Daphnia pulex: one gene and its partners. The protein of the gene in region 1 purifies or fractionates together with the protein of each later gene. This does not show direct contact. Links are inferred from orthologs where the notes say so. Each region holds a gene or a part of one and is shown in the gene's direction. Other genes may lie near its edges. The genes, in order: F-box/WD repeat-containing protein 7-like, RNA-binding protein 28-like, transcriptional coactivator YAP1-A-like, nuclear factor NF-kappa-B p105 subunit-like, E3 ubiquitin-protein ligase MYCBP2-like, F-box/SPRY domain-containing protein 1-like and dolichol-phosphate mannosyltransferase subunit 1-like.

The links.
Region 2: the proteins of F-box/WD repeat-containing protein 7-like (region 1) and RNA-binding protein 28-like purify together in Homo sapiens (affinity purification with mass spectrometry, with the first as the bait; 3 studies listed by BioGRID). This does not show direct contact. The link is inferred for Daphnia pulex from reciprocal best matches to the Homo sapiens genes FBXW7 and RBM28.
Region 3: the proteins of F-box/WD repeat-containing protein 7-like (region 1) and transcriptional coactivator YAP1-A-like purify together in Homo sapiens (affinity purification with western blotting; 4 studies listed by BioGRID). This does not show direct contact. The link is inferred for Daphnia pulex from reciprocal best matches to the Homo sapiens genes FBXW7 and YAP1.
Region 4: the proteins of F-box/WD repeat-containing protein 7-like (region 1) and nuclear factor NF-kappa-B p105 subunit-like purify together in Homo sapiens (affinity purification with mass spectrometry; 7 studies listed by BioGRID and IntAct, with this or other methods). This does not show direct contact. The link is inferred for Daphnia pulex from reciprocal best matches to the Homo sapiens genes FBXW7 and NFKB2.
Region 5: the proteins of F-box/WD repeat-containing protein 7-like (region 1) and E3 ubiquitin-protein ligase MYCBP2-like purify together in Homo sapiens (affinity purification with mass spectrometry; 6 studies listed by BioGRID and IntAct, counting the BioPlex papers as one, with this or other methods). This does not show direct contact. The link is inferred for Daphnia pulex from reciprocal best matches to the Homo sapiens genes FBXW7 and MYCBP2.
Region 6: the proteins of F-box/WD repeat-containing protein 7-like (region 1) and F-box/SPRY domain-containing protein 1-like purify together in Homo sapiens (affinity purification with mass spectrometry; 4 studies listed by BioGRID and IntAct, counting the BioPlex papers as one, with this or other methods). This does not show direct contact. The link is inferred for Daphnia pulex from reciprocal best matches to the Homo sapiens genes FBXW7 and FBXO45.
Region 7: the proteins of F-box/WD repeat-containing protein 7-like (region 1) and dolichol-phosphate mannosyltransferase subunit 1-like purify together in Homo sapiens (affinity purification with mass spectrometry, with the first as the bait; 3 studies listed by BioGRID). This does not show direct contact. The link is inferred for Daphnia pulex from reciprocal best matches to the Homo sapiens genes FBXW7 and DPM1.

Annotation. Positions count from the first base shown.
Region 1 is NC_060019.1:12,536,013-12,540,095, forward strand, and holds the start of F-box/WD repeat-containing protein 7-like, read left to right. Parts: upstream 1-1,283; 5' UTR 1,284-1,661; intron 1,662-1,746; 5' UTR 1,747-1,875; coding exon 1,876-2,043; intron 2,044-2,110; coding exon 2,111-2,259; intron 2,260-2,418; coding exon 2,419-2,776; intron 2,777-2,840; coding exon 2,841-3,026; intron 3,027-3,091; coding exon 3,092-3,490; intron 3,491-3,557; coding exon 3,558-3,737; intron 3,738-3,835; coding exon 3,836-4,017; intron 4,018-4,083. UniProt on the Homo sapiens protein: Substrate recognition component of a SCF (SKP1-CUL1-F-box protein) E3 ubiquitin-protein ligase complex which mediates the ubiquitination and subsequent proteasomal degradation of target proteins.
Region 2 is NC_060018.1:5,214,750-5,218,805, forward strand, and holds RNA-binding protein 28-like, read left to right. Parts: upstream 1-1,256; 5' UTR 1,257-1,334; coding exon 1,335-1,448; intron 1,449-1,522; coding exon 1,523-1,691; intron 1,692-1,751; coding exon 1,752-2,200; intron 2,201-2,262; coding exon 2,263-2,440; intron 2,441-2,503; coding exon 2,504-2,721; intron 2,722-2,779; coding exon 2,780-2,929; intron 2,930-2,996; coding exon 2,997-3,326; intron 3,327-3,383; coding exon 3,384-3,497; 3' UTR 3,498-3,650; downstream 3,651-4,056. Other genes in the region: splicing factor U2AF 50 kDa subunit-like, read right to left, coding at 1-235, 300-599, 888-915; casein kinase I-like, read right to left, coding at 3,891-4,056. UniProt on the Homo sapiens protein: Nucleolar component of the spliceosomal ribonucleoprotein complexes.
Region 3 is NC_060025.1:6,891,490-6,895,075, reverse strand, and holds the end of transcriptional coactivator YAP1-A-like, read left to right. Parts: intron 1-208; coding exon 209-345; intron 346-405; coding exon 406-759; intron 760-840; coding exon 841-956; intron 957-1,018; coding exon 1,019-1,418; intron 1,419-1,551; coding exon 1,552-1,670; intron 1,671-1,729; coding exon 1,730-1,813; 3' UTR 1,814-3,086; downstream 3,087-3,586. Other genes in the region: FUN14 domain-containing protein 1A-like, read right to left, coding at 3,124-3,306. UniProt on the Homo sapiens protein: Transcriptional regulator with dual roles as a coactivator and corepressor. Critical downstream regulatory target in the Hippo signaling pathway, crucial for organ size control and tumor suppression by restricting proliferation and promoting apoptosis.
Region 4 is NC_060019.1:4,989,240-4,991,580, forward strand, and holds the end of nuclear factor NF-kappa-B p105 subunit-like, read left to right. Parts: coding exon 1-71; intron 72-148; coding exon 149-174; intron 175-232; coding exon 233-567; intron 568-640; coding exon 641-810; intron 811-924; coding exon 925-1,176; intron 1,177-1,247; coding exon 1,248-1,422; intron 1,423-1,491; coding exon 1,492-1,649; intron 1,650-1,721; coding exon 1,722-1,817; 3' UTR 1,818-1,841; downstream 1,842-2,341. UniProt on the Homo sapiens protein: NF-kappa-B is a pleiotropic transcription factor present in almost all cell types and is the endpoint of a series of signal transduction events that are initiated by a vast array of stimuli related to many biological processes such as inflammation, immunity, differentiation, cell growth, tumorigenesis and apoptosis.
Region 5 is NC_060019.1:11,812,375-11,815,874, reverse strand, and holds part of E3 ubiquitin-protein ligase MYCBP2-like, read left to right. Parts: coding exon 1-12; intron 13-79; coding exon 80-265; intron 266-324; coding exon 325-711; intron 712-782; coding exon 783-988; intron 989-1,048; coding exon 1,049-1,202; intron 1,203-1,267; coding exon 1,268-1,412; intron 1,413-1,475; coding exon 1,476-1,738; intron 1,739-1,798; coding exon 1,799-1,959; intron 1,960-2,027; coding exon 2,028-2,248; intron 2,249-2,316; coding exon 2,317-2,399; intron 2,400-2,466; coding exon 2,467-3,450; intron 3,451-3,500. UniProt on the Homo sapiens protein: Atypical E3 ubiquitin-protein ligase which specifically mediates ubiquitination of threonine and serine residues on target proteins, instead of ubiquitinating lysine residues.
Region 6 is NC_060023.1:5,716,068-5,719,463, reverse strand, and holds F-box/SPRY domain-containing protein 1-like, read left to right. Parts: upstream 1-1,232; 5' UTR 1,233-1,328; coding exon 1,329-1,432; intron 1,433-1,552; coding exon 1,553-1,791; intron 1,792-1,861; coding exon 1,862-1,959; intron 1,960-2,022; coding exon 2,023-2,154; intron 2,155-2,212; coding exon 2,213-2,398; 3' UTR 2,399-2,896; downstream 2,897-3,396. UniProt on the Homo sapiens protein: Component of E3 ubiquitin ligase complex consisting of FBXO45, MYCBP2 and SKP1. Functions in substrate recognition but also plays an important role in assembly of the complex.
Region 7 is NC_060020.1:7,388,067-7,390,840, forward strand, and holds dolichol-phosphate mannosyltransferase subunit 1-like, read left to right. Parts: upstream 1-1,175; 5' UTR 1,176-1,310; coding exon 1,311-1,411; intron 1,412-1,478; coding exon 1,479-1,578; intron 1,579-1,640; coding exon 1,641-1,751; intron 1,752-1,815; coding exon 1,816-2,226; 3' UTR 2,227-2,274; downstream 2,275-2,774. Other genes in the region: protein virilizer homolog, read right to left, coding at 1-490, 549-684, 749-861, 935-1,024. UniProt on the Homo sapiens protein: Transfers mannose from GDP-mannose to dolichol monophosphate to form dolichol phosphate mannose (Dol-P-Man) which is the mannosyl donor in pathways leading to N-glycosylation, glycosyl phosphatidylinositol membrane anchoring, and O-mannosylation of proteins; catalytic subunit of the dolichol-phosphate mannose (DPM) synthase complex.

The DNA of each region.
Region 1 (4,083 bases):
ACCGTAGCGCATGTTGGTCTCGTTCGTCATTCACAATCGAACACTATCAAATGACGCAACGTATGTTCGTTAGCTGCAACGACGACTCCATTGTTTAAATAGGCGCGCCTAACCTCACACCTCTTCAATCCGGTGCTTCTGCACTTAAATGAACCGGTCAAAGACCAATTGCTGGTTTATTAAAAAATATATAGATTTCTCAATGCCCACACAAAATGTGCATCAAAGTTTCTTGGCAATTCAATGAGCGACCTATTTTCATGACTGGGGAAGCGACGATAATGCCCGATGAAAGAGCGAATTCAACATTCAACACAAGATCACCGAATGTTTTGTGCTGCGCTTACTAATGATCTTTTTGAAAAGTTAATGCTAATACGGTAGCAGCTATCACTCCGAATCCGAGAAATTTTGAATGTCATGGGGCAATAAACGGAATTGAATATTGTAACAATCAGAGAAAAACGAAAATTTGTTACAATTATATTATTAATGAGGACGAACCTTCAACTTTTAAAAAACCTGCGAGATATCGCGTAAGTAGCAGTTTGAATTTCTTATATCGAACGTTTATAATTCATCGCGAGTCATCTAGCGATAGCTAGAAAAAGCAAGATTCGGGCGCCCTTTAACACTGCGTAGCTGCTATAATGTGTACAAAAATATAGATACACAATTTAGTTGGATGAATACTTAACTGGCTATTGGTTGAATCGGGTTCAACTTTCGTCCAACCGTATGAGAGAACTAGAACTCAACATTACGCAGTAACGTTTTCAACAGAGTTGAAATGCTTGAGAAACAATTTGCACCAAAACTTCCATTGTTATTGAAATTGTGGCTTTAATTCAGTTGGATCTGTAAAGGGCTGATGGTATGAAGAGATTCAAGGGGGACATTTCAGGAGGGGGAACGATGAATAGCGATGATGATCCGTTGAAGTTTCAAGAACTGAACAGTTAGAAACTTAAAAAAAAATATGATATAATACTCTTTGATAGTAATGCAATACAAAAATATTATTAAGGGTGGGGGATGTATGTACAAAGAAAGGCGGGAAAGATGAAATGAGGTAGGCCCACGTATTGGCCTTTAAAAAACCGCCTAGCTTTGTTGTTTAAAAAAGGATAATAATTACCACTATAAATTCGATAGTAACACTGTAAACGTGTCAAGTGGGTTTTGCTACGAGATTCTAAGCGAAATAAAGAAAAAAGCGCATGTGATGACGACCACAGGGCGCGTCCAGCAACTGGGAAATGTTAACAAGCAATTTGGCAACGCTTTTTAGTCCAGCATATATCGTTGTCTGTCTCGGCTTCACCATTCGTGTGAAACAAAATTCTCTTTGATGCTGATCCTCGTGTACAAATTTTTTTCTATATTTACGCTCTTTGTGAAATCGAAATGCCCGAATCATTTTAGTGCTAGATTTTTTCTATTTTAAATCCTTTATTTGATTAAGTTGTTTTTGCCCACCCGTGCTTGCGGAATATTTTCAAAATCGCATTTTAAAGGTCTGCCCTTGTTCCCAAAACACTACACACTATCAAGCCCTCGCCCATATCATTAAAAAGATTCTACTTTTATTTTGATTGCACTTTTTGACTCGTAACGCCATTATAATTTTCGCTGCACTTTTCACTGGATTTTTATCGACGGTAAGTGTGAATCATTCTTGCTTTGTTTCATTATTGTTATAAAAAGAAACCTTTATTAACAACATTGAATCTTCTTTCTTGGCAGATGAGATGACTAGTGTTTAATTGAGGATATGAGTTGTTGTCTAGGCAGCTGTGTTTTGGTTTCCTAGTAATAGCTCAGCTTCTCAATCTCTAGCTTACGTAGCAGTCAGAAACCCAGCAGAAATAATTTATGCCAGCGTCCAGAGGACGGAGTAGTGGGAGGGGCATGGGCGACACTGCTAATGAAAGTCTAGCTCAGAGAAACCTGGTAGACATCAATGTGGCTACTGTTGAAGAGCTTTCCACCTTGGTTGGAGTTGGACGCAGCAGAGCTGAAGCCATTGTGGAAACCAGAAATGTAAGTTTAGGATTAACCCAACACCAGTGTGTTTTATATGGTTTTGACATGTGTTTTTCCTTTGTAGTCCCTTGGAGGATTTACATCCATCGAAGATCTAAGTCTGGCTCCAGGTGTGGGGACAAATTTGATTGAAGCCAATCGTCAGATACTAACAATATCAGTACCAGCTCAGTCGTCTCAGGTGAATGCAAGAAAAGCCAACACTCGGAGCAGGTAAATAGTGTTATACAATACTAAATTTATACCCCCTTCTCATGGTTTTGCTATTAGTGTAGGTATATTTCTTTATTGTTACTCTTATCTAAGCCTTTGTTCTTTGGATTAGGCAAAAATGCGTCATTTGATTCTAAACATGTTTTGTTGTTGCCCTAGAAGCAGTGATAATACAAGCGCTCAACCGACTCCGAGCACCACACCAGTGATATCTAGTTCAAGTGATAACGCGACAGAAGACCAGCAAAACGACAGTGGAAGTAGCAGCAGCAACGAATGGGGTGCTTGCCGTTTGAGGCAGCGCCGGTCAACAAGCAGAATAAATCCACTGCCCGTTGGCAAATCGCCTTCGCTTCGACAGACTCGGAGCAACGATAGCATCATTCAATCGCCTCCTCCTCTCCCCACAACACCTACATCATCGACACCTACTGCTCCTGCCAACGACGCCAGCAATGTATCCGTTAAAGAGGAATCACCCACCTCGGAGAATGATGACGTCGCCAGACCAGGAGCTGTAAGTTTATCCAACACTTATTTGTTATTAAGAACATGAATTTAATTAAGGTGGTGTGTTGTAGACCAAGCGCAAGTCGGAGTCGACAGCTGAGATGGCAGCTGAAGTAGCCACGGAGAAAAAAACATGTCGAAGGGGTGAAGGTGTTGATTCATCTTCCTCGTCAATCTACTGCCATGTTCACCGTAATCCGATTCCCTCGAAAGACAATCCTCCGCCAGGATTTTGCCAGTGGCTTCACACGTTCCAAGTATTTTTCGTCATTCTCTCAACCACTAACTCATTGCTAAGAAAAACCATTTGTTATCATTGCAGTACTGGTCGAACGCTGAGCGTTTATGTGCCATTGACCAACTGATAGAGCTGTGTGAACCCACTCAGGTCCGTCACATGATGGCTGTTATTGAACCACAGTTCCAACGCGATTTCATATCGCTGCTGCCCAAAGAACTGGCTCTGTATGTTCTCAGTTTCCTCACGCCTCGCGACTTGACTCGCGCCGCACAAACCTGCCGTTGTTGGAGAGTCTTGGCTGAAGATAATCTCCTCTGGCGAGAAAAATGTCGTGAAGCGGGTATCGATGACGTTCGTGATACTCTAAATAAGCGACGTCTTCGCGGATCTTCCCACCACTCATCTCTCAGTTGTGGTCTTTCTTCCCCCACCGGATCTAGCCAAAACAATGCACCAATTATTACTCCGTCACCCTGGAAGGTGAATAGATCAATCTGGCTTAAACGTTAATAGGTTGCAAGATAATATTGATTCGTTGCATTTTCAGGCGACTTATATGCGTCACCGAAATATTGAGTTGAATTGGCGAGTGAGGCCGATCCCACAGCCAAGGGTATTGAAAGGTCATGACGATCACGTCATCACCTGCTTACAGTTTTGCGGAAACCGCATCGTTTCGGGATCGGATGACAACACGCTCAAAGTCTGGTCGGCTACTACGGGAAAGGTAATTCATTGGGCTTTCTGCCTAGACAGGACAAAGACTTTAAAAACGCGAAATGTCTTAAGAACAGACAACCATTTAATTGTCATTTCACTCAACAGTGCATGAGGACTCTGCAGGGACATACGGGAGGCGTTTGGTCCTCTCAAATGCAGGGAAATATTATAGTCAGCGGGAGTACAGACAGAACCTTAAAAGTCTGGAACGCTGAGTCTGGACAGTGTTTGCACACATTATACGGCCACACCTCCACTGTCCGTTGCATGCATTTACACGGAAATAAGTCAGTCTTTTTATCAGATATTTGTAGCAAGCACTCTTACTAATTCAACTGTTTTCCTTGATCAAA
Region 2 (4,056 bases), on another chromosome or scaffold:
TTAATTTGACAAGCTAAAATGGGATGACCTGGAGCTTGAGACAGACCAGACAAATGCATCTGTTGATTGAAGAAATCCATCATTTCCTCCTCCGCTGCGCGTACATCAGAAACTCCAAAAGGAATATTCCCAACATAGAGTCTCCTGGCTTGACGAGTGATTGTGTTACCCACTACTGGTACTTGGACTTGTGGGGCTACTTCCGTCATTATGTTAGCTGGAATTTGTCCGGCAGCTACGTAGATTCAAGAAAATAATAATTAGCACATTAAAATTGAAACTTGAATAAGGATTTATACCTTGCATTGCTTTGTATTGCATGGGTGTGATGTGTTCGAAACCAATAGGAGGAATATCCCAGTAAATAGACGGCTTTCTTCGGCGTTGCTTTTTAACAGGAGAACGACTCCTTTTGCGTTCACGTTCACGGGACTTGCTACGCTTCTTCTCCTTCTCCTTTTCCTTAGATTTAGACCTTCTCTTTCTGTCACGAGACCTGGACCGTCTACGATCCCTGTCTCTATCTCTTTCCCTATCCTTGTCTCTTTCCTTGTCCTTTTCCTTATCTCTGGAACGGTCACGATCTCTCTCCCTGTCAACTAAAGTATTTCAAATGTTAATAAATCAAACAAGTAAGTTTACTTGCTTGACTACCTTCTAACTACTATGACTAATATTTCCATACAAAAGCAAAACCACGAGCCAACATTATAAACCATTAAAAGTTATGAAATTATGTGTAAAATACAACCAGATCATTAAACACCCATTACTTGTAAGTAATGTGTGTTAAACATTTCTTTCTTAAGCATCACAGACTCTTAAGAACATTACAAAAGCATTATAGTTGATATTGACAGAAGTAGTTTAGAGAAGTTAAAACATACCTTTACGATCATCTTTATCTTCTCCCATGATTAACGTGTGATTGTTAGCTTTTGTACGACAATAAGAAGAAACACAGCAGAGGAAAACAGTTAATTATTGTCCAAATTTTCACTAAGACTGTAAGCCGGTTTGATTAAAGGCTGGGAATGGGCGAATGGCGTCGGAGACGAGGTTCGATTGACTCCTTGTACCGGCAACGTCGATTTAATGTTTACAATTTCAAACTTGGTTTTGATTAATATACTGAAAGGTAAGATTAAATATTTCATAAAATAATAGCCACATAAAATTTATTTTCTGAGTAATTGTTGTATTCATGTTAATCCTCATTAGTTGTCATTTTGCCAATTGACAACAGTCTATGCTACATTTTGACACATATAATCGTCTGCTTGACTAGCTACATCAGTTATACAGACAAGCACGTGTTTGGATAGATTTAAAAGATGAATCACTCTTCAGTTAAAAAAGAAGCTTCTATTGTTACTAAAGCAAACACATCAAAGAAGAGACCACCCAATAAAAGAGGAAGAATAATTATTCGCAATTTATCTTTCAAAGTAAGCCAAGAAACTTTAATTTATGCTACTTTTAGTATGTTAGTAAGTTAGTACTTGATTTAATTTATTAACAGGCAACAGAAGAAGCTGTTAAAAACTGGTTTGAGAAATATGGAGAAATTGAGGATGTGAAATTATTAAAGAAACCTGGTGGCACTTTAGTTGGCTGTGGTTTTGTTCAATTTAAAACAGTTCCATGTGCGGCTACAGCAATCAAAGAATGCAATGCAAAACCATTTCTTGGTAAGAAAATTTTAACATTTTAAATTTGATAATAGCTTATCAATTGTTTTTTTTTTGTAGGAAGGCAAATAGCTATTGATTGGGCCATACCAAAACAACAGTATGCCACTTTAAATAATAAAACTGACGAAGTTCCAAACATTGAGCCGCCAGAGAAGAAAAATGACAGAAAAGATGAAGAATCTGATGATGAAGAAAGTAATGATGAAGAAGAAGATAATGATGAAGAAGAACAAGATGGAGAAGCTTCTGATTCTGAAGTTGAGAATGGTTCCGGTGAAGAAGAAAGTCCAAAAAAAGAAGAAGCTTGGAAGGGTGATAATTCTGAAATAGAAAAGAAGAGTGATGTAGCAGAAGGAAAGACTCTTTTTATCAGAAATTTGGACTTTTCAACCACAAAAGACTCGTTGAAAAATTTCATGGAAAAATTTGGCAGTGTTCACTATGCATTGTTGTGTATGGATAAAATTATGGAGAGACCCAAGGGCACTGGATTCGTAAAATTTAGAGTAAGTTGCATTATTGCAAAAATAAATACATACTAATAACTTTTCATATTAACCATTTTTAGGATTCGGAATCGGCTCAAAAGTGTTTAGAAGAGTCTCGAAATCCATATTTACAGTTAGATGGACGCATTTTAGACGTGGCTCTTGCAGTTACTCGGGAAGACCTCGATCACAAAAAGCAAGAAGCTGAAAAAAAGGAACATAAGGATAAGAGAAATCTATTTCTTGCTCGCGAAGGATGTAAGATTCTGAATGTAGATATTAAAGATTGTTTTTTCTTGCTTATCTTACAATTTTCTTTAGTTATTAGACCTGGTACCTTAGCCGCTCAAGGAGTTTCTCCAACTGACATGGCGAAAAGGCAACAAAACGAACTATGGAAAAAGCAAATGCTTCGAAATCTCCACATGTTTATTTCACGGGAACGATTGGTTGTCCATAATCTTCCACCCTCACTTACGGATCAAAAGTTGTCTAAGCTTTTCAAGAATCATTCATCCCCAGATGCCAAAATCGTAGAGGTGCAGTAAATTTTTGGTTTTGTATAACAAGAATCTTATTAACTTCAGATTATTTTAGGCTAAAATTATGCGCGACTTAAAAGCTGTTGGTGAAGGAAACGTACATCCATCCAAAGGGCATGGATTTGTAAAGTTTACCAAACACGAAGACGCATTACTGGCATTGCGTAATATCAACAACAATCCCACTTTGTTTTCAAAAGATAGGGTAAACATAATTTACTTGAGACTCCTCTTTTCTGTGTTTATTTTTATTTTATTTTTTTGTTTTTTAGCGACCTATCGTGGAATTCAGTGTGGAGAATCGTGCTGCCGTAAAAGCCAAACTGAACCGTGTTCAGAAAAGTCTTGAAAATGTAAAAAAAGGGAAAGATGAAAAAATCGCATCTACCAATGCGACTGCTGAACTACCCGTTCAAGAATTCAGTGGAGCAAAAGCTGACCCTAAAATTAAAGGACTACCATCGCATAGAGGACCGAAAATTCGACATCGTAAACGACCTAGTCCCCCCGATGCTGAAGTTGTTCCATCAAAGAAACCGAAAATTCGAAGAAAAATGTTTAAAAATCCCGAGAATCGCAAAGCGTCCGCTAAGAAGAAAGAGGTAAATTTAGGGAATACAGTCATAAATAAAAAATTAACTTTGCATTGTTCTTGCCAGGGAGTTGCCAAGACAAAATCGACAAAAAAGAAAGTTGCTGGTAGTGTAACAACTGGGGCTCCTAAAATGGCTAAAGCTACATCTGGGAAGAAAGGGAAGTGGTTTGATTCGTAAGTTTTATGTTGAATAAATTGATGACTTGAAAATTTCGTCTTTTCTCCTTGTGGGTTATTATTAAGTGTAGACTGGTGTTGAGAAACCATTTGTATTCCGATAAGCTTGTCGCGTAATTTACAAGTGTGACAACATACAAGTAATTTTTTTTTTTTCATTTCATCACTTTACTTCAAAAAACGATTTCCAAGGCTGCGACACGTTACGAAGAGCAAATCGAGAACTGAGGAGAACGGGAAGGGATGCAAAAGAGTGGCAAGATCAGAGGAAGAAAATGGATGATAAACATTTACAACAAGGGTTGGTCGTACATATCGGTAACAATATCCATATATTCATGACTTAATTGTTACCATCAAATCTTAAAAGCCTTCAAATGATACTTTCATTATTTCACTGTTGGGTACGAGCTGCACGGGAACGTGCAGCCCACGAAGCGGACGTTGCAGGCAGGGGGTTAGTAGGATGCGAGAACGAGGGCCGTGTGGGGGCTGGGGGATTGGTCGCTGGCTGTACAGGTCTCTCAGGTGGGAGAGTTGCTGTCTGGCCCACCCACTGA
Region 3 (3,586 bases), on another chromosome or scaffold:
TTTATCTGATTCTATTAGCGTGAAACAAATCCAAGGTCTTTCCAACATGGTACCGAACAATTTCAGTCAGGTTTGTCCTAGACTATTGTGTCTAGTCGCGTGTGTTTAGCGTTGCCGTTTATCATTGTCAAATAATTTGTTATTTACGTGTCAGACATTCTACCGATTTTCATCTTGCTGATGTGTTTTTTCTTTTTCTTCTTTACAGTCACCTGACTCAAACAACAACATGGGAGGATCCACGGAAAAAATTACTGCAGCAACAGATTCAGCCGTTGTCACCGGCTCCTCCACCAAACATGGTAGCTCCACCTTTACTCAGTGCCGTTACGGCGCCAGTTGCCGGTAAGTGAAACAATACAAATTCCTGGCTTTCCGGTTATGTAACTTTCATTCAATTAACAGGAAGTAATGCAGCGGCTGTCTTGGCGGCATCTCAGCAAGCTTTAACCCAAGCTTTGGGTCCTCTACCGGATGGATGGGAACAAGCAGTTACTCCGGAAGGAGAACTCTATTTCATTGATCATCACACGAGAAAGACTTCGTGGTTTGATCCTCGCCTTCGTAATAGCAACTTCTTTTATTATTTTGTATTTATTTGTTTTTCCCCACTTGCTCGCCACGCTAATGTCTCGTTTCTGTTTGTTCCATCATCAGCTATTCACATGCAGAAGCCACCCATGGTACACGCCGCTGGAACACAGAGCGCTGCCGCCTTACAGCAACAACAACAGATTACTCAGCAGCCAGCTGCTTCAGGTGAGGCTTATTTTATGAAAACAAATCTCAGAAGTGCTGACGGTAAACATTCAATTTGATGTTTTTATTTTTATTTAATAGGAACTTCACAGCAAACTTTGACGCCTGCCCAGGCTGCCCAGCAACAATTGCGATTGCAAAGACTTCAGCAGGAGCAGGATCGTTTAAGACAGAGACAACAGGAAATTATAGCCATGGTATTTTAGTTCATGTGAAGGTGTTGTGTGATCTTTGTTTTCCATTGATGAATTCATTGCAGATGGAACGAGAAACTCGCGTCCGTCAGCAAGAAAACAGCACCGGTTCCCAACAGCAACCGGAGTTCGCCATGAGACGGAATCCTCTTCATACGCAATCGAGTAGCAACAGTGCAGCGGCCAACGAGCTTAGCTCCAACACGGTGGATCCTTTTCTTAGTGCAGCGTCGGCTGCTGCTACCGCCGCCGTTCCCCATACTTGCGTCAATGGAACAGGAAACGGAGCGGCCACAAATATCCCTCAGTCTTCGACAGCTCCACCTTCGTCATTGGCTACCGACTTTCATGCTCGTCAAGAGTCGGCCGACTCTGGTTTGGGTATGGGTGGCAGTTATAGCTTACCTCACACACCCGAGGATTTCCTCGCCTCTATGGATGACACAATGGACACTACGCTTGATTGTAATTTTGATTTTTAAAATTAGTCTTAATTTAAATTTTTAAATTTTTATTTTAGTTTAATTTTTCCTATATTATTCATTGTTTCACATCGTTGAGTTCACATTTTTAGTAACGGATTGTTTACGTTGTTTAGGTCCTGCTTCTGTTGGCACTGTCGATATGAACGACATGAACGACATGAATGGAGGATTAGAGGCTGGCGATCTACCTGCTCATATGGACACTACTGACGATCTCGTACCTACTTTGGATGTAAGAACATACATTTCACAATGTCATTTCGATTTAAAACAACAATTATTTTTGAACAGTTGGGAGAAGAGTTATCGACGGACATCCTGAATGACGTTCTTTTGAATTCAAACAAAGTCGACAACGTCCTTACTTGGCTCTGAAACAGCTCGTCTTGGTTGAATCCCAAATTTATAAATATCTTCTATGGAATGCCAATATCGTCGATGGTTTTCTTCAACACGTCTTGAAGTTTACGCATCTATTGGTTTGGCATTGGGCGTGATCAACTAACTTTTACATTTTGGCCTTAACCTTTAGTATGGGATTCATCTTAACGAATATTCAGAAATTGGCAATTATTTTGAATATGTAGAGCTAACGACTAGCGGTAGAGTTAATCAAAAACAATTCGGTTCTGAAAGTGCAAACGTTTTAGAGGAAGATTAGCTCACAATGCGTATTATGCATTGTCGTACTAGCTTATCATTTACGTATTAAGAGTTATTGTTGGGAAACGGAAGGAGGAGCTAACAAGATTTTCGATATTTGTTTCGTTTGATTCCGAAACCATCACTTTTTAAAACATATATGCAACTATGACTGTAGGTTCTTGTTCTAGGGAAGATGGTTCTAGGTGTAAAAAAAAAAAGATGAGATCCCGGTCCGGTCGCGCGCCCGTTCCAGTATCGTCGTCTTGAGAGAAACTGACGTGCCTATAAAACGTGTGAAGCAATAAGATGCCTGGGAATTCCCTCGTGTGTCGGTCAAAATTGTGTGTTCCTTTTCAATGCCTTTGAATTACCTGTAAATGTGCTCGTCAAATGATTCTTTCTGCATACCCTGTCCAAATGTTTTTGACAAGCCACTCGCAAACCGAATACGAAGCAGGAGATATATCATTTGAAAATGTCTTGGTGACCCGTCCCCCTGTATGGCCATGATTACTAGCCTTAAAACTGGATTTTTCTTGCGCTTCTCGCTCGTTCTCCATTATTATTAAATTTTTTTTTCTGATGCAGACAGTTAACTTTGCACCACCACTCTTGGCTTTCACGGACCTCGAGTAATTTAAACGGTCCAAATTGTGTGTAACACATGCCTTGAAGAAATGTCTTAAATTTCAGTGCCTTCATTTATGATTTGACGTTATCTGGTAGCTCGGATTTATCGTTTTGTTTTAACAAGGTGAAGTTGAGGGGGTTACAGGAAACGTTATTAACTATGTATAACTTCATTGTATTGGTGACGGGCGAACTTTTCGATTTATTTGATACATGCTAGTTTCCCCAAGGCCTTTTAAGTGTCAATTAGAATAGTGTCGTACTAGAATTATTACAATTAGAAACTGTTAAAATGTTGCTCCGAATGGCCTTATGCGATTTATTTCTCTCTTGTCTGTTGACTTTTGTCCATGAATACATCTTTCTACAAGTGCTGGAGTCTTTAAGGTCTATGCATCAATCATTAACGCTTAAAAAATTACTCCAATAAATAATCCAGCCAGAGAACCTCCGATGAAACCAATATAAAAGGCCTCGGAACCATCCGATGTTTTCTTGCCGATGAGTTTATGGTACCAGCTGCGCGTTCCTGCAGTTCTCTTTCGGAGAACTCGGCCAGCTTTTTCTGCTTGTTCGTCCAAATAGTCGGCAGCCTATGAAATCATGAATACGACACAGCCTATCAACTTATGTGAAATATGAAAAGAATAAACAAAAAAAAATTCTCCACTGAGGATTTATTCTTTAAAAAAATGTTTTGTCTTCGAGTGTGATGATAAAAGCAAGCAGAAAATAGCTATGTACATGGTCTCAACCCAGTAAATGAAAAAAAAAAATTCTTCAGTTGTTACTTCATATTTACATTCCTCCATTCTTCATACAGCTTAGCTTACCACAATGAAATATCTTAACTAAATTGAATGGGTGATTAAA
Region 4 (2,341 bases), about 7.5 Mb from region 1:
CCCGGGCGATTCGCTGGTACGCCACGACGGGTGATTTGAGTCATATTTTGACTCGTATGCGACATCTTATGGTATGCCCATTAGAATTCCTTTTTAAAATCAACTTTGTATTTATTTGTATTGTTTCTTTTTTTTTCTTCTTCTTCAGGCAATGCAAAGTGAAGATGGAGACAAGTAAGCCAATTTTCGCTAAAATTACTTATAAGTGAGTTTAACTGGACAATTTTTGTAGTGCACTCCACGACGCTCTTATTCACAATCAAACCGATGTTGTGCGCGCTATACTGCATGCGGCTTCCTTTCATAACACAGAACTGAATTTCATCAACGCTCAAAATAATGCAAATCTGACACCATTACACATTTCTGTTCTTAAAAACCAAACCGAGGCTACAGCTTTGCTTTTGCAAAGCGGAGCAAACCCTGGATTGGTGGATGCTAACGGAAATACCCCAATTCATCTTGCTGCAATGGACAAACATCTCATTGACTGTCTTCAACTACTTTTAAATACTTCCAATTGGAAGCCAGCCCATGCTCTGAAGTTGAATACGATAAATTACGCTGGTAAGCATAAATTAAAAATAATTGATTGCGGCTTTGGTGAAGTAGGCTACCAAATTATCGTTGAATTATTTAGGTCTTACTCCTTTACACATTGCGGTTAACGCAATGAACGTGAAAAGCGTAGAATTGCTACTTGCCAAAGGAGCTGATGTCAACTGTCATGAAACAAAGCGCGGGAGATCAGTTTTACACATTGCCGTTAAAAAGCAATCGGAAGAGATGGTGGCGTTATTGCTGAGCTGTGTATGTATTACCGTACTCTGCCATGTACTTAAATTACATGGCTTATTGTTTTATACCTTAATTAGTTTATATTCAAGCAATAATTTTATGGCCTTGTTTTTTATTTAAATTTAGACATCTTTGAATGTGAATATGCAAAGCTATGATGGAATGACTGCTTTACATCTGGCTGTGTTGGACGAACTTGATCAAATCTGTAGTTTATTAATAAAGAGCGGGGCGGATCCCTCAATTCTTAACTACGTGAATTCTTCCGCATCGTCGGAAAATGAAGAATGTGACGAAAATGACCCCGAACACTTGTTGGGAGATGGTAGTGTTGAAAAAGGACAAAGTTCCTTAGATTTGGCACAGTGCAATTTAACGGTATAACAATCAATGAGGAAAAAATATCAAGATTAATTTATTGACTTTAAACTTAATAACTTGATTTTTAGATAGCTAAAGTGTTACGTGATGGTACGCACTCGTCAACGAGCTTGGCTCCCTGCGAAACTAATTTTTTGGTGATGGATGAAGATGAGCGGAAAAGTACCGCATCAGACGCTACTTCAAATAGTAGAGTTTTGGACTCGGGCATCGATTTGATGACTAGCAAAGAGTTGCCGAAAGGTAATTTACCAATTCACTACAATATATACACATCATCATTTTATAATATGAATAACACACATTTTTCAGAGCTGGACAAACGTATCATCAGTGACTTGGCTAACATATTAGATTCTCCCAACAAAGAATGGGAACAGTTGGCCGATAGTCTGGATCTCTTATTGAGCATGCGAACCGTTTTGGACAAGCAGCAAAGTCCAACCACGTATTTGCTATCAAATATGGATGTAAATGATAGAGCTTAAAATTCCTAGTTATCTATTTGTAACTCATATGATTTTTCTTTCTTGAATTTATAGCTTTGGGAAGTGTCGACTCAGGTCGTATTGGAAAAACTGCATTTCCTCAAATTCACAGATGCTGCGACGCTGCTTGAAAATTATTTGGCAACTTAAAAACCAATTAAGTATTGGCTAGTTTAAAAAAATGGACTAAATTGTTCACTTCTTTGAAACAGCGCTGTAGCTGTATTTCTTATATCCATCGGGTAACAATTAAGATTATATAATATGCGTTTAATCTGTTATTGTTTTGGGAAACTGCGTAATTTGTTTGTTTTGTTTTGAGATGATATATAACATGAAATATCGTCGGTGAGACCAAATTAGTTAAATTTTTCAAATATTTTATAGATAAGGTGTTGGAAAATAAATCGTAAATAAATAACTTGTCGACTGTGTATTGTTGGCTTCTTCATGATTATATTAAATTGTGGTAAACTGGTAATCGTTATTTTAATCGTGTTGTAGTTTTCAAAATGAAGATAATAACGAGTATGTTACACATTTCGATGAATAGAATTACAAAATTTTTAAGGCACGGAAAGTACTTAAATATTTTGTTATTAAAATATGAAAATGGGCAAGATCAGGAGTTCATGTAATACACTGGAAAGCTTACATTTGCGCAATTTCAAGAA
Region 5 (3,500 bases), about 720 kb from region 1:
CCCAATCTCAAGGTGTGATTTGCATATACTTATGCTGGGTTAGTAGTTTAACCTGTCTTTTATCTATATTCTGTTTCAGGTAAATATTCGAGCGGTTCCATGTGACCTTACGCAGACGACCAACGATGCTTTGTTATCACCAACCAAGCGGCTTTACTCGGGAGACGAGAAAAATTGCGATGAACATCTCGAACCAGTTCTTGATGTGCCATATGATGTTACCACGAAAGATAGAATGTGCCTTCACGCCATCACATTTCTTAAGGTTCGTAAAAATCAACTATTTAACTGATTGCACTGGTCTGAAACGAATTTGTAAATCAGGCCTATGAAAACTACTCGTTTGAGGAGCTCCGATTCGTGTCACCCATCAAGCGAAGAACTAGCGAAACAATGCTTGTTCGGCCCAACGCTGATGGCTCTTACAGTGCTAACTGGACACCAAGTGCTGCTGGACTTTATTCTATTCACGTAACCATCGACGGCTACCCGCTTGATGAAGTTTACAAAGTCGACGTGAAAGAGCCACCACAAGGAGTTTTACCTCCCTCCCACAACGTCACAGTAAGGAACAATTCGTCACCTTCTCATCGGCTACGTCAATTCCGAACTCGAGCAAGTGCTGGTTTGCGTGTGCGGGCTCAGCCTTCACTTCAAGGGGAACAAATAGGGATTGTAGCATGCGAAGGAACCATCTCATTCATTGAAGAGGTATTTGAAATCAAAATATTTTATATTGTAATGTTTGATGAATGTCAGCATTGCATTCTCTTTTTCTTTAGTTGTGTAATGACGACGGAACTTGGTTACGATTGAGCACGGAATCTATCAGGGAATGGTGTATTAATCCATATTCAGAAGCATGGTGCCTCCAATACAACCAGCACATCAGTAAGACGTTGCTCTTTCCCATCAGTACTACTCAGAATGAAGGAGACGAGATGGGTGACGACCCGCCCTCACACCATAAAAACAGTCAAGCGGATAGGTACTTTTGTGAGCAATTTAATTCGGAAAATGAAATTAACACTTTTGTTTATTATCACAGTGATAAGAAAGAAGAAAAAGTGTTCAGTTCGGCGCAGACGTTCTATGTGGTTGACTGTGGAGCTTCTGGACATAACATTCGAGCACTGCCCAGTTTGAAAGCTTTGCCGGTCGGAAAATTAAAACTTGGCAGCTCATTTTTAGTAACTGAGCAGGTATTCAGTATGATTCCATTACTTTAATAAGCTTTTAAATTTTCATCTTGAAATTATTTAAACAGCGACAAACTTCGGAGGGAGCATGGGTAAAGCTTTTACCCTCTTCCGCTCGTCAGTTCTGTTCAAATAACGAACTGGAGGCTTGGTCACTTGCTGTTGATCGTCATCAAATGGTTTACCTCCGCCACGAAGATGAGGTTCTATCTGGTAATTTATTGAAACATGGACAGGAAGGTTCAATCAGTGTTATTCATTACTGTTGTTTTCTAGTTTCAGCAGGTTCAGATAAATCTAGTCCGGCACAATTACTCAAGCCGGCTTACGATTTTAGCGAGAGTGCTGAGCGACAGGCTAATCTGTCGGCCTTCTCGTCTCCAGAGCCCGTAAGCACTTTCATTTTTGGCATAGACAAAGACTCCGAATTTCCTCGACCGACCTCCTCACAGAAATCGCCTCCGAAAGGCGAGATCGACCAGTCTCCAAAATCAAATGTCCAAAGTACATCTGAATCAACGGCGTCACTTCATGTGCAGGTAAATGAAAACTAGTTATTTTTAGTTGCTGGAATAATTGAACAACGTTTAATTAAACAGGAAGCATCATTGGAATCAAGCGTAGAAGATGCCGGAGCTTTGGTTGGATCTTGTGGCCCGTTTGCTGCAGTTGCTGTAGGGCGACTCTCAGCATTTCAAAATTGGCTGAGACGTGACGGATCATTAGTTAAAGAGGCGCCTAGTCCACCACCTCGTTCAAGGTTCGCATCGTTAATCATTGATTTGTTACATTTTTGTTGAAATTTGTCAATATATTTGGTTTTCCCAGGAATTTTCCACCTGAATTGCAAGGAGTATCGGTTAAGGATATGGTTCGAGTAATGGGCGAGAGCCGAGCTAACGGTAACGCTTCACCTTCCTCCAGCCCCATTCCTAGTCGGAAGACCGGAGCTATCGCGGTGGTGAATCGTTCGCTATCGGCTCATTCGTCACCAGGAGGCTGCTCAAAACCTTCCGGTTCGCTTCCCTCTTCTGGTACAGTAAAATTAGGTTAGTTACCGTAACCTAGAAGCATTACAGATAATTTTGACTTTTTACTCCCTGCCCCTTATTTTAAGTAGAAAATACTCAACGTAGCCGAAGTTTGAGTCCAGCAACGCAAATGTCGCAGAGTGTGGATCAATCAGTCATCACAGTTATGGTATTTTAAGAAAATGTTAACACTTTCATGTGAAGTCATTTTTTCTTTATTATTTTTTTAATCCCAGGCTAAAAACGTTACACAAATGGGAACTCAGACGAGTCCGGAAGCCAACAAAACCAATCAGTTTAATCTTGGTGCTGAGTTGATATCTGACTTGACCCGCTCACCTCAGCGGTTGTCCCCAAAAGCATCTCGTACCAAAGAGCGAGCGTCGCGTGGTGGAACAAGAAGCCGAAAATCGCGATCACCAACCGCTGGCCAGCACATTGGTGGGCGCTCTCTGATGCTGGAACAAGAGATAGCTCGCGTTGGCATGAGTCCCTCTACGGCCGAATGTCTGCGCGCTGTCTTCGCCGCCAACCTTTGGCATCAAGGATTGGTTCACGACGCTATGGCTTGCGCTTCCTTCTTGAAGTTTCATCCCAATTTACCCAAGCAAGTGGACCCGATTGTACCACTGCGCGGAGATCCTCGACATCGCAAGACACGAGAGGAGAAAGCGCGCCAACGGCACTCGGTCGAAATCTTTTCTACTAATATGCTATCAGGGCCGTTTGCATCTCCACTGCCGGTAGCGTTAGAAGAGAGTTGGAACACGGAACGAGGGGAATCGGCAAGCAATCATCAGATACAACCGGATGTTCCTGACAACAAAGTGGCATCGTCTTTAACTCCAACACTTAGCCTCCTGGTCGAACTTTGGGAAAAGATGAGCGGGCGTTGTGTTGAGTTGATACAGTCTGAGCCGACGGCTTCATCCTCGACGCTCAGTGTCGCCCAGTTCCAGAATGAGAGCGTGTCCAAGGCTAAACCGAAAACTGAAAACAGAGATGCACGCGATAAAGAGCGAAAACGCAAGTCCCGTAGAGAGAGCATCCGACCGGAATCTAACTGTGAACTATGCGGCGGATTGTTTGCCGTGCCTGTAACCGCTCACATGAGACAAGCTCATCCAGGCTGTCAGAAGCCAGCCCTTGGATTGGGTTACAACCCCGACGGACAGTACTGCGGGGGCTGGGTAGGAAATTGTGGCGAAGGAGGCATTCAGGTTAGATCCAAATTGGATTCCTCAGTTGATATGGAAATTAATTCTAGCTT
Region 6 (3,396 bases), on another chromosome or scaffold:
TCCTGTCAAATTACAGATATCATCAAATTTCATATAGAACTATGATAGAATCTAAATAGACTAAAATGGAAATTCCCCGTATTTATTCCTCCAAATGATTTCAGAACACGATGAGCGAAATGGCGCCCAAAACGCCATCACCAGTCGATACCCCACACCGGTAAGTTTTCCCCCTTATTTTAAGATTTTTGCAGACATCTTCACTTAAACTTTCCAAGCTCAATGACAAATAGTATCCTCCTTTATTATCTAATTCACTTTATGAATAAAAAATAAAAATCCCCTCAATCCAAAACAAAAGAGACAATAGGGTTTACCTAAGGTTCTGGGCCAACTTTATACGATCGTCACTAGACACACACTGCTGTAGCATCAGCAGGCAGCTAGGCAAAAATGCACGAGGGGGTGATGATGGCACAGCAGGCCAACGGCTTAGTTTTTATTATATTTTTTTTTTCTTTATTTTTTCGTCCGGGGGGTTTACTGAGTGAGCGTCTTATATGTACGTCATATGAGACTGGGATTCAATTCAATTCTAACTTCTCCATGAGTTCGCTTTCTATCTATCGCAATTTGCAATGAAAAAAAAATCGATACTTTCAACGGGCAGAAATTCGAAATTCAAACAAACTCGTGACCTTGGGTCGTTGGGTGAGAACAAAAATATGAACAAATGATTTTCGATTTTCCTTGCTCGTTTAATTTCTCCTTTTCTCTTTTTCAAATATTCATGTAAAATACTAAGTAGCGCTAAAACATGAAGGAGAAAGAGGAAATTAATTAAGCGCAGGCAAGTGTTCAGCGATTTCGTTATTTTATTTTATTAATTTCTGAAATATATTTTTTTTATTTCGCTCTTTTAAATTGGTCTATTTTTTTAATTTGGCTGTTAATACAGTTATCGTAATAAATGTATCGTAATAACTAAGTGCTAATTTGATTAATTTCATGGGAAAAGCGTTAAATTTTTATTGAAATCGAGCATGAATATGAATGAAATCATAAATCAGAAGGCTAAGTAAAATCAAACGTCGTCTGCTTTTCCGGATACGCGGGAACCATTTCAAACATAAACTAAAATATTATTTTATCTTAAAAACTAGTAAAAAAGTAGTTTGATATTAATATATCGTTTTTTCACAGGTGTAATTCAGTGTTTTATCAAGTTGTTTAGATTCTCATAATTTTTGTTCGGTTTTCTTATTTCAGATCAATTGCTATGGCAATGTGGCAACACCGGTTCTGCCATAGAAGTATTGTCAATTGCAGAAAAAATCGAAAGAAATTTCCTAAATGAATGTTGAAGTGTTTGCGAGCCGGCGTTTAGAATGCACGTGGATATACTACCAGATATTATACTAGGAAATATTTTCTCATATTTGCCGCTGCAGGATTTAAGAAGCAGTTCGTTGGTGTGCAAACGGTGGTACAGGTACAAGTTTTCTTGAAATCAACACCAGTTTGTGACTATTCGCTAGTGATCTACCGTTGCTAACAAAACCAGCGATTGTTTGAAACTTATGTTCTCCTTGCACATTATTATTTGAATCAGTATACTGAATGATGAGGACAATGATGTCTGGAGACTGCACTGCATACGAAAACTGGCAGAAGAAGTCCTGAGCTCAGACCTCCTATCTTCCGCTCCTACCTACAAAACAAAATTAAAAGCATTTCACCATGCTTGGAACCCAGAAGACTGCTCTAGAAACATTTATATCAAACCCAATGGTTTTACCATACACAGAAACCCTGTTGCACAGAGTACAGATGCTGTGAGAGGTAAAATTGGTGAGTACTAAATATTGTAGATGCCTGTTGCAAGTGTACATATTAATCCATTCAACTAATGTTTGTGCAGGATTCAGTCAAGGTAGGCATGCCTGGGAAGTGATGTGGGAAGGTCCTCTTGGAACAGTTGCAGTTGTTGGAATTGCAACTAAAGAAGCAACTCTCCAGGTATAATTGTGTTAAAATTTGAATATTTTATCTAAAAATAATTGTCAAAATCCATGTTCACAGACACATGGATACATAGCTTTACTAGGATCAGATGACCAAAGTTGGGGTTGGAATTTGGTTGATAATCATTTACTTCATAATGGAGATTCCCAAGGCAATTACCCAATGCTGAACAATGCACCTAAATACCAAGTGATTGAGTCTAACCAATGAATGAGTTGAATCAACCTAACCTAAAGTTTTGTTGCAGGTTGGGGAGCGGATACGAGTCATTCTTGACTGTGATGACAATACATTAGCTTTCGAAAGAAACTATGAATTCCTCGGAGTGGCGTTTAGGGGCTTACCAGAGAAGCTCTTATACCCTTCGGTGTCGGCAGTCTATGGGCACACAGAAGTCTCAATGGTCTACCTGGGTCCTCCCTTGGATGGCTAACTGTCGCCTGTCCCCCTCTCCTAAACAGAAAATTTCTTTGTGTGAATCAATTTCTACAGGCAAATGCGTTTTGCCAACCAAGAAAGGATGTTGTTGTAAAAGAATCCCAAAATTCAGTGTACAAAGGTTGCGTTGGGAATACCGCTCTGACTTAAAACATTCCCGTATTTTCCCATTCTTCATTTATTTATTATTTTTTTTTTTTTCATGATTTCCCTGGTGTGTGTCAGATTATTGTAGTGTGTTACAATTCAAATTTCGTGTGGTTGTGTTTTCACGTTCAACCGAAAACCAACAAATGGTTAATCGTCCGGTCTGACTGCTACTTGCGAAATAGATTTGTATAACTTAAAATTTCCCTGTGTATGTTTGTATGACTTGGGACTGGTGATGATGCTAAAGAATAACTGAACCTCTTACTGCCCAAAGTTTGGCGTTTTGAATAAAAAAATCTAATTCGTGTTTAATTACTCGAATAAATGAAAAATGACTTGTCTACACTGCCTTTATTTAATTTTATAAATAAGCATTATTCAAACACTTAAAGGTGTTAACCAATGAGTAAGGAATCAGGTTTTCTAAGTACTCCTACATTTACCATCGTATACGAATGGATTCGATCGTTTAGGTTTTTTCTAGCCTCATTACTACTTCATGTGTGATTTTTTCTCTTCTAACGCTTCTAACTGAGAAATGTACTGATGGGCACTTGGATCCTAGATTTCTAGCAACATATTGGTCAAAAACTGTCTTGAAGGTCAAACAAAAAAGTTTGTTTAACTGTATTTCCATTACGCTCATCAAATCGAACGACGATCGAGTAAAGGCTTTAATGGTTTTTCGCATGTTGAATTAATCAAAGCGCAAAAGCAATATCATTCCAAAAATAGGTCAAAATCAAAGAAAGTTTCGTCCCCTCTTTTATGGTTTATTGTGTACGTTGACCTTCATCAACCTCATAAAGCGAAGTGTAAGTGTCATGTACCACCGGAATTTTC
Region 7 (2,774 bases), on another chromosome or scaffold:
CACTTCGATTGATACGTTCGGAATCTGCTTTGCTGGTTCGATCGGATTCCCATTCTCTTTCACGGAAGTCACTTGTGTCTCGCGTCCGTGTGAACTCATCACTGCGTCTGCTTTTCTCTCGCACCTTCTCGACTACTTTTTCTTCGACCTTCACTTTGGTTTCTTTTTCTGGTTCATCCTCGCGTTTTACTTCAGATTCAACCACTGTTGATGTCACAAAAGCATTTTCACACTTTATTAGTTCTGCTTTTTCTTCGAACGGAGGGGTGGAAGTCCGTAACTTTTCGTCTATAATTTGATTTGTAAACACTGGCGCTAATTCTGGAACCGGTGGCTGGGCTGGTTCAACTGGAACTGGGCTAGCAGGTTTGATAGGGGCTGCTGGGGGTGGTGGAGGTATACTGATTATTGGGGCTCGTGTAATAACCCCATAAACAGCTAGGGTTACAGTGGTATACCAGCCTCTCAAAACTAAGCCATCTGTTGGTACCTGTAAAATATACTTGGGGTTAAAATGGTTTGTTAATTATGCATAGTAGTCAATTTACTTTTTTATCAGAATCGTAATGAATGTTAGAATTCTGATTGTAATCTAGAACACCAAGTGTCTCAAAAGCAGATGCTCCAGGTTTGCTCAAATCATTCACAAATAGTTCAAGCTTAAACTGGGATGGATTCGTTGCTCTGAAAATACATGTTAATATGTAAACATTATCCTTATAATTTATTTTGTTCTGTCGTAACCTACCCTAAACGCACTCCTCCGGGGAAATCAGCTTGCACTTTGGCGCCTAAAGGTATGACTCGCACTTGATTTATGTACACGGGCTTGGGAAACTGTACCAAATCCAAATTCAATTCCTGCAAAATGTCGCCAAGTTTGAGTTGTAGCCAAATTGATTTATGAATAAACATTTTCTGAATTGATTCAAACCTCTGTGGGACCATGTGCGAACGTATCGAAGAAGAGCAATTCCTCATTATCAATTTTTTTATCAATTATCAATTGTTCTAACACAGACATTTTATACTAGCCGAAAAACTTTCATGAGTAAAATTTTTGAGGGATAGAAAAAAGTTTGAGGGTTCGTAAAAGGTTAATAAACAGCAACTGTCATGGTTTTCTGAAAATATAAATACGACTGCCACTAGAGGGATCCCCAACTCAGTAATCCGCTAGATGGGTCTGGGAGAAACAACCTTTAATTTATAACATTCCTTGCTTCTTGCTTACGTCAACAAGTTTGAATCACACAATTACTTCAAGGCGTCCCGTCAATTTCCAAAACAAATTCAGAAGTGTCGATAAAATGGGAGCTGATGACAAATATAGTGTCCTGCTTCCGACTTACAATGAAAAAGACAATCTACCAATTATTGTCTGGCTCTTAGTCAAAGCCTTTACTGACAGGTAAGGTTGACACTTGCTTGCAGTCATAATAAGATTACAGGTCATAACAATGCATTTTATTTGTTAGTGGATACGATTTCGAAATTATTGTAATTGATGATGGAAGTCCTGATGGGACCCTAGATGTAGCAAAGCAGCTTCAAACCATTTATGGAGATAAAAAAATTGTATGGTAGTGTTAGGCTAAGTATTTTTTTTTCTAATTAGCTATAATATTGTCATATCACAGGTCTTGAGGCCACGAGAAAAGAAACTTGGACTTGGAACTGCTTATATTCATGGAATCAAACATGCTACTGGCAATTATGTTGTGATCATGGATGCTGATCTATCTCACCATGTAATCATCTTTATAAACTTAACCTTAGGGGACATTAATTTTAAAACATTTATTTTCTTGGCAGCCTAAATTTATTCACCAATTTATTGAAAAACAAAAAGAAAAGGACTATGACTTGGTTTCTGGAACTCGTTACAGTGGAAATGGTGGAGTTTATGGATGGGACCTGAAAAGGAAAGTGATTAGCAGAGGTGCAAACTATGTTACTCAAGTGCTGTTGAGACCTGGTGCTTCTGACCTCACTGGTAGCTTCCGCTTGTACAAGAAAAAAGTATTAGAAAAACTGGTGCAATCTTGTAAATCAAAGGGGTATGTTTTTCAAATGGAAATGGTTATAAGGGCTAGACAATTGGGATTTACAATTGGTGAAGTACCAATTTCATTTGTTGATCGGGTTTACGGTGAATCAAAATTAGGTGGGAATGAAATTTACCAATTTGCCAAAGGACTTTTGTATTTGTTTGCCACTACTTAACAAAATTCTTCAAACAATAACTTAAAATACACCTTCTAAAAATTGTTATTGAAATATTTTTGTTGTTTCTTGAATGAGCCATGATATCCATGAGATAACACACAGACCATGGTTAACAAATATAACTAATTCATTAGATTCCCTCATTTATAGAAATAACTAATTATTGAAATACATTTGTAAAATTGAGAACTATCATAATTCTAAAACTACTTGAATAGTTTCAAAATATATAAACTGCTATGGTGGTTATTTCACCCAATAAGCTGATTGCAAGTTCGTTTCCTAGCGTGTCTCCTATAAATAAAAGACGCTGTCGCGTCTTATTGTAAGCGCTCCACAACAAGTTAGTGCATTTGGATCTTCAACAATTCAAAAAATGGAAGGAACGAAATATTTCGCTAAAAACGCTATGCCGCTTTTCTCCCCATTCTTCGTGGTAATGACCATTTACCTAATCTCTTCAATCCAGGCTGTTGAAAACGATACAGGAGGCGATTTTGAGGATGTATTAAGAGAAAATTACAGGGGACCCGTTGCCTTTTTCA